2 linked regions of the Callithrix jacchus genome follow. The protein of the gene in region 2 interacts with the protein of the main gene of each other region in a biochemical or structural test. Links are inferred from orthologs where the notes say so. Each region holds a gene or a part of one and is shown on either strand. Other genes may lie near its edges. The genes, in order: XAF1 and RNF114.

Region 1 (3,810 bases), about 28 Mb from region 2:
ACGTTATGCTAAGTGAAAGAAGATGGTTACATAAGACCACATGTTATATGACTCCATCGATGTGAAGTATCCAGAATAGACAAATCCATAGAGATGGAAAGTAGATTAATGGTTGCCAGGAACTGGGAAGATGGAGGAATGGATAGTATCTGCAAATGGGCACAGCATTTCTTTTTGGGATGATGAAAATATTCTAGAACTAGATTCACAACATTCTGAATGTACCAACTGTCTCAAAAGTAGTGGCAAGTTTTACATTATATGTGGTTTCCCACACTAGTAAAAACAAAACAAAACAAAAAAGCAAAGAGCTGAATCCTTTCTATGGCTGCTTTAGTTTTGATATTCTGTAGTTCTAGGAACTGAAGTGTTAAGAAAGTAAACAACTTTCTGTCCAAGGAGATGAGTTCCTTGGAGAGAAGCCTTGGTAAGTTTCCCAAAGGAAAAATGCTCCATTCTGTCCGAAAGAAGGGAGCAACTTGGCACAGCAATGCATGAAAAGGCGCTTAGGGCTATGGAGGGAAGAGTCTGAGTGTTCCCAGACAGAACCAGCCCGTCAGTCAACCAATGACTGCATCTCTACAGAGTACCCTTTTTGCACCAAGCCCTGATACCAGGAAAATGGGAAAAGTCATTCAGTTTTGCAGGAAGCTCACAGTTTAATAGAGAAGACTCCTACATGGGACAGAAAACAGTAAGACAGGCCCTACTGAGGACCAAATTGCAATGTCCAGGTCATGAAGGTTGGAGATGGTCAGAGGTGATCGCGGGTATTAGGAGTGGTGAGGGAGGCCCCCTGAAGGGCTGGGCACAAAGGAAGACCAATTGTGTGTGCTCGATTAGCCTAAGCTAGTCACTAAAATATCTTTTTGAACAAAGCAAAAAAAATATATATATATATATATATATATATGATCATTTAATATTCATGCTACGCAAAATTGGGCCCAGAATCTGCCTTTCCTATCCTACTTTTCAGAATGTGGACTAACTATTGGCACCATTAGAAAATTACTAACTGCTACTCACCATATGGTGGAAATACTTATTTTCTGGAATCATTTGGTTGCAATAATGACAGTGGATTTCCCTTTCAGGTGCTGAAATTCTTTCCCCTGAATAAGCACAGAAACAACACCACAAATGATTGCCCTTGACGATGGCTAGCCCAGCTCGCCCACAGCTGTCTATATGGCCCGTACTCATGAGCATGAACTGCCCCCAGGCCTGTCTGGCTTTGACTTTCCTGCACTGCTGGCATCCTTGACTACACAGGCAACTCTTGGCAGAGTCACTCACATCATTTCCTTTATGGCCACAGATGTGCACTTAGGGCAGTAGTGACCCTGATGGAGAGACATCTTCCGGAGCGGGACTGCTTTCTATGGGGATGAATGGAACTCTAGCCAGGGATGCCAATCCTCTCCAATCTAACTGCTCTTCATCCCACCAGTTTCCAGGCTCTGTGATTGGACCAGGTGTTGGTTGAACGCATCTTTGTTGATTGTTGTGTTGAAGACTGTGTTTGGTTCTGTTGAAATCCAGCCATGCTGGATGAAGGAAATGTACATGAATCTCACACTTTTCAGTTTTTCATTGGCCAGTTTTGACCTTGGGTAGATTGTTTATCAGGAGAGAACTGTCTGGGGAGTTTTAGGCTGTCTCTTATGTTACCATGTTACCAAAACAACCAGCAAAGACAGCAAAGGATCTGTCACATTAATGACTGTGTGACAGTGACAGTAAATATACCCTTGTAAAGAGGTATGTGAGTCAAGGGAACATAAAATGGTACCAGGGAGCCAATACATAGGCTCCAAGGCCAGGAGTTATAGCTAGGTCCCTTCTGGCCATTACTGATAATGGAAAAAGCCCTAGATTTGGTGGAAAATGTGAAAGTCCAGTCTTATTTCTGCCTCTAGCAAGCCCCTGCTTTATTCTGTGTGTAGATTTCTCATCTGTAAAAGGATGAGAAATCAATGGATCTCTGCCAGGCTAGGACTGTGCTGGAGGCATTCAAAGAAAGCCTCCTGTTTCCTGGGACTCCCCATGGCCTCCTTACTCAACTTTGCAGCTGGCAGGCTCTAGCCCCAGCCCCCTGGTCTCCCTGGACCAGTCATTTGAAGACTATGGCAGACAGACAGGAAGGCCACTCTAATGCATGGTTTAGAATGAGAATAGCTGGATGAATTGAGACCTACACAGCAAATACACTTGTCATCCATGCTGCTGAGAGCTTCCATTCCTCACATCCCATCCAGAAAATGCTCTGGCCCTCAGAATGTCTCTCTTCTGCCCCAGTTTGTGTGCTCACCTTTCCCGAGCTGGGCCTGTTGACTCCAACAGAAACGTGTGTGCTCGGTGAGTACCCGGCGTGTGATGAACTGGCCACAGCCTGGGCAAAGCTCCGTCCGCCTGCCACAGTGGGACTCGTGGAGCTCCAGCCTGCTGAGCTGCATGTCCAGCTCACAGAACTTACACTCAGCGGAGTGTTCCTGGCACTCCTTGGCCTGTGGGAGGCAGCAGGAAGGGCATGATCACTGGCCTCTTTGACTGCAGACAGATCAAGGACTTGTGCCCAATTCCCTAGGGAATTACAGCCAATAAGAGATAGCAGATGAGAAGGGCCAGAGTGAGGGACTGCCCTCGGGGGATCTGAGCTCTCTTGAACTCATGGACCATGGAAAGCACTTCTGGCCAGTATCTGGGGGACAGGAGATCATGTGTCATGTAGTGGGCTAGTTCTTCACTGCTCTCTAAGCCTGATGGGGTGTAAAAAGTGGTCAGGTGGAATTCTCTATTATCGGCCTCCCCTTTCCCCTTCCTCTCCTTTTCTCAGGTTGGCCTATTTGTCTGTAAAGGAGAAATCACATGAAGTCTTACCTCATGAAACGCCAGTGAGGACTTCTGTATGCTCTTCTGACACATCGTACACCCAACCTAAACACACACCACACACACACACACACACACACACACACACACCCCAGATGTGGGTTCCACCCAGCACCCTGGGCCTGTCCCACATCCATGTTGGCTCACAGTGTTCCAGGTTGGAGTCTGTGAACTCCTAGAGGGCAGGGATCCAGTGTGGTTACCTCAGTCTCTCTCTAGCGCCAGCCCAGTGTTCAAGAAGTGTTTGTCAGACCAGTCTGAGTTGAAATGGATGCCTGAGCTTGAGTATCTCCAGAGAGACAGATCAGGGGCCCAGGAGGCATGGACATGAAAGGCAGGAAACAAAGCTCAACCTGACTGCCTTCTGGGGCTTTCCTTTTCATGTCCCCTCTTTACGGGTCTCAAGAGAAGAGCCAATCTTTCCTGAAACCAGATCCTTTTGCCTATGCTAGACCCATAAGCCTGTAGGGAAAGGACTGGAGATGGGAAAATTGGTGGTAGGCTCAGATTAGCATGAAAAAGGCAGGATTAACATTTCCTGCCCATGCGGCTTCCTGTGAAGGAACTAAATGATTTCCCATGGCCCTCAAGTGAGTCTCTGCCTGGGGGACTGGACTCCTGCCTTAAGTCCCCAGCCCTTGCCCCAACTCCAGGACCCCATCTCTCCCTCAGGGAGGGCTGGACCCTCACCCTGACTTCCAGACCCTATCTCTCCTTCAGGGAGGACCGGACCCTCACCCCAACTCCCAGACCCCATCTCTCCTGTAGGCAAGACTGGACCCACTCCCTGACTCCCAGACCCCATCTCTCCTGCAGGGAGGACTGGAACTGGACCCTAACCCTAACTCCTGGACCCCATCTCTCCTGCAGGGAGGACTGGACCCTCACCCCGACTCCCAGACCCCATCTCTCCTG
Region 2 (4,272 bases):
TACATTCTAGAGTGAAGGGAAACACAAATGTTAATTTCAGATAGTGATAAAATATATGAAGGAAATATGGCAAAGAGACCAGCTGGGGTGATCACAGAAAGCTGCTTCTGAGGAGTTGGCATTTGAGCTGGGTGGGACCCAATTACGAGGACAGTCACAGATCTGGGTGCAGAACTCCACACCGAGATGATGCCAAACACAAATGAGCACTGGAAAGACAGGCAGGCAGGCAGGCCTTGGGAGCCACAATGTGGTAGACCATGGCGAGAAGGGCAAGCGATGAGGCAGCAGAGACAGGCAGGGCCTTGCGGTCATCACTTGTGTTGCCTCTTCACAAAGGCAGATCACAAGAGGAACCCAAGAGACCGCCGAGGGTCCAGTGAGTATAGTGGAACCGAACCCAGCATGCAGATAAAAGCAGCCTGAAGTCTCTTCTCAAGCACATACATAGGTGGTACAGCTCATCTATCAAATGTTCACGAGCCACTTTGTGCCTGAGACACACCCAAACCACCAAACTGCTTTTGAACTGCTCAAATATCCTGGGCTGGCTTTTCAATTTCTATTTCCTACTTATGGGCCCCTTTCTAGTTCAGCCTTCTGACACTCACCCCAGTCCAGTGCTAGAAAGAAATTCCCCTCTTGTGCACCCAGCCAGCTGCCCTTTTCCAGCTGTATTATCCTAGATTGGAGAATGCAGTCATTCAGGGCTTGAAATACAGTTTTATAAAAATCCAATGCCCCAGCCAGAGTTGCAGTAATGTTCAAGTTTCCAAGCACAAAAGGTAAAAATCAACTAGGCACAGCAGAAAGCACTTGGCTCCAGCTAAGGGGCTAGAGCTAAGTCAGGCTGCCCTCACAGAGGTGCTCCCATCTGTCTTCAATTTGCACTGAACTGCTCAGCACGTGGGGCTAGGACAGTGAGTATAGGGAAAAGCCAAGGTTTGAATCCCAGTACAACTCCTTGCCCTCTGACCTAGGAAACGTTCACCTAGCTCAAGGAAACCTCAAATTTTGCTGCTCTTCATTTAGCAAACTGTGCCAAGTCTAACCTTTTTACAAATGTTAATAGTAAATGAAATCCACTGAATTAATCCAAAAGTAGGTAAGTCTGAGCCAAGGATAAACGGATTCAATGAAAAAGCTAGCTAAAGACTTCAACTCTAGTGAAGTTTGCTTCCACCACTAATTTCTTAGTTTATTCAACCATTACCTGATCACTCACCCCAGACAGAGGTGTGATCCCTGAAATACCCTCCTACTTGCAGAAGGAATTTTTACAGTAGTTTGACCGGTACTTATTTATAATCAATTCACTGAACTGTAAAACTCAGAAGGCAGTCACCTTTCTACTTTACTCCAAGATCTGGCACACAGAGGGCATTCCAGTCAGTTGAGGGGCAAAAAACATACGGCCACTCCTTCATGAGCTGTAAGCAAGAAGGAAGTTAAGCCCCAGAAAGGAAGTGGGGGAAGTAATTTAGACAGGAATGGTGTTTGGTGAGGTAACTTAACCTGGGACTTGAAGCCTGAGAAAATTAAAAAGAGTTCCAGGCTAACTGAACTGGAAAGAGGAATAGCCTAAAGCTACATGAAGAAGCAAAAAGCAGCCAGTGCGGCTGGGAGCCTTTGCCAGGTGCCAACCACTGTTCTCCGGAGTAACAAAACAGTCACCTGAAGTCCATCTGGGAAGAGTTAGGACACGATGAGCCTTCCTTAAGTGAGCCTCGGACCCTCAGTGTATTCACCTGTAATATGGCTACGAACCCTACCCCGCTGCAGGGTGGTTACAGAATAACGGCCATGAAGTGCAATGGCTACTGTGCCTGCTGCCTAGTGAAGGGGTCCCAAGACCAGTGCCAAGCTGATCCCACAATAAACACCGAGAGAGGCCGGAGGAAAAGCCAATTCTCAGAGGCAAGAAGCAGGTGGCCACGTTGCCTACAATTTTTTTTCAGCTCACGTGTGTTTGTGCATCTAATGGAACAAGGCTTAGATTCAAATCCGCCAACCTCGAAAGCCCCGGCCACAGCCCAGGACCTGGACTGGACATTTTTACACATATCTACTTTAATCACCATAACCAGTCTATTCACAGTATTCAGGTCATGAAGGCTTCATTGGAAATCGAAAGAAACAAACCTCCTACACAGGAAGTAGAGAACGCTAACAATCCGTCTGCCAACTCCCACCCCCTTTCACAGGTAAGGGCAGACTGGCCAGATCCACATAGACTTCCCTTTTGTTTTAGTCTAGTTCAGCGTTTCTCCCAACTTTACTCCACGTTGGACTAACTCGGCACAGCTAGACACGATGCCAAATGGCCTATGCTTTCAGAGCGACATGGACTAGAAAAGAAACGTCGGCACTCCAAGGCGGACTTCAGAGCCTAAAGTCCTCATAGGGCACGATTTCACTATCTCGTCTGAGAAGGAGACTGACAGGCCGCCGGGTGCACCGCAGGCGCTCAACGGACAGCAGCTGCCCAGCTAAGGGCGGAGGGACTGGATACTTGGGAGTGAGCAGGGCGGAACAGAAGAGTGCCCCGGCAGCTTTCAAGGTCCTTAGGAGCCCTGGGGGGCCCCGCCGGGAGGCCCCTCTGGGTCACCTCTGGCTCCCGCCCCGAGACCCAACTCGTCGGGGCCTCGCTCCTCGGCTCCATTCCCCTCCCAGTCAGGCGCCCCCCTACCAGGCCCGGGTTCGCCGCTTACACGTGTCCGCAGGGCACCTGTACCGGCTTCTCGTACACCTCTAAGCATACGGGACACGTGAAGCGGCCCAGGGGGTCAGCCTCCGCCGCCGACCCCGCCAGCTGCGCAGTACCCTCCCGGCACTGCTGTTGCGCCGCCATTTTGCTGCTCAAGAGCCGCGCAACGGCGGCTGAGGAGGAGTAGGCCGAGGGGGCGGGGCTCGCGGCAGGCGGGCGTGGGGGCGGGGCGCTGTTGGGGGCGGGGCGCTGTTGGGGGCGGGGCTCGTGGGTGGGCCGCGCCTCCCGGCCCCTCTGACCTGAGCGACCTAGAGGCCGAAGGCAATCTGGAAAACGTGGAAGCCAAATCCAAAGGCTGCCAGATTTGTGACGGTCTTTGCGCGTGGACCGCTGTTTTCCAAATGTAAGTCATTAGTTCGGCACCACTTGCACTATCACTAGTTCTCTTCAAATCATTGCTTTTTCCTTAAATTTATTTATTTATTTAATCTATTTTGAGACAAGGTCTTGCTTTGTCGCCCAGGCTGGAGTTCAGTGGCACGATCGCAGCTCCCTGCAGCCTCGACTTTCGGGATTCAAGCAATACTCCCACCTCAGCCTCCTGCATATCTGGGACCACAGGCAGTCACTACCATGCCCAACTCATTTATTTTTGTATTTTTTTTTTTGTAGAGACAGAGAAAGGAGTCGGGGCAGGGCGGGAGGTGCTGGCCAGGGGTTGTGTGTGTGTGGCGGGGGGTGGGGGTAGTTCTCACTATGTTGCCCAGGCTGGTCTTGAACTCCTGGACGCAAGCGATCTGCTCGCCTCGGCAACCTGAAGTGCTGGAATTACAGCCGTGAGCCACAGTGCCCAGTCCTTTCTTAAATTTAACCAAACAAATTCTAATAACAGATCTAATTCCTGAGCTGCAAGAAGAAAATCAGTATCATTTATTTATACATAGGAGCTGGGCATGGTGGCTTACACCCGTAATCCCAGCACTTTCGGAGGCCGAGGCAGTCGGATCGCTTGAGCCTAGGAATTCCACACCAGCCTGGCCAACATGGTGAAACCCCATCTCTACTAAACACATAAAAATTAGCAGGACATAGTGGCGCACACCAGTAGTCCCAGCTACTCTGGAGGCTAAGGCAGGAGAATCGCTTGAACTCCGGAGGCGGAGGTTGCAGTGAGCTAAGACCGCTCACTCACTCCAACAGTCACTGAACTCTAGCCTGGGCGACAGAGTGAGACTCCGTCTCAAAAACACAAAACCAAAAAACCAACAACAAAGCACATTCATTTCATATTGTGCAATCATCACCATCAGCTATCTCCAGAATTCTGGTGGTCTGTGCCCACTAAACAGTAACTTCCTGTTCCCTCCCCCATCTCCGCCCCGCCATGCTCCCAGGCCCTGGCAATTTTCTGCCTGGGATTTTGCAGCACTTATACCTATAGAATTTCCCCTAAGCACTGTTTTCACTGTGTCCAGTAAATTTTGGTATGCTGTGTTTTTGTTTTCATTTGTTTTTCGATATTTTCTATTTTATTTATGTATTTACTTACTTATTTTGAGATGGCG

The links.
Region 1: the proteins of RNF114 (region 2) and XAF1 form a complex in vitro, tested with the Homo sapiens proteins (2 studies listed by BioGRID). The link is inferred for Callithrix jacchus from reciprocal best matches to the Homo sapiens genes RNF114 and XAF1.

Annotation. Positions count from the first base shown.
Region 1 is NC_133506.1:73,177,741-73,181,550, reverse strand, and holds part of XAF1 (XIAP-associated factor 1), read right to left. Parts: intron 2,511-3,810; coding exon 2,315-2,510; intron 1,116-2,314; coding exon 1,030-1,115; intron 1-1,029. UniProt on the Homo sapiens protein: Seems to function as a negative regulator of members of the IAP (inhibitor of apoptosis protein) family. Inhibits anti-caspase activity of BIRC4. Induces cleavage and inactivation of BIRC4 independent of caspase activation.
Region 2 is NC_133506.1:45,485,987-45,490,258, reverse strand, and holds the start of RNF114 (E3 ubiquitin-protein ligase RNF114), read right to left. Parts: upstream 2,862-4,272; 5' UTR 2,852-2,861; coding exon 2,712-2,851; intron 1-2,711. UniProt on the Homo sapiens protein: E3 ubiquitin-protein ligase that promotes the ubiquitination of various substrates. In turn, participates in the regulation of many biological processes including cell cycle, apoptosis, osteoclastogenesis as well as innate or adaptive immunity.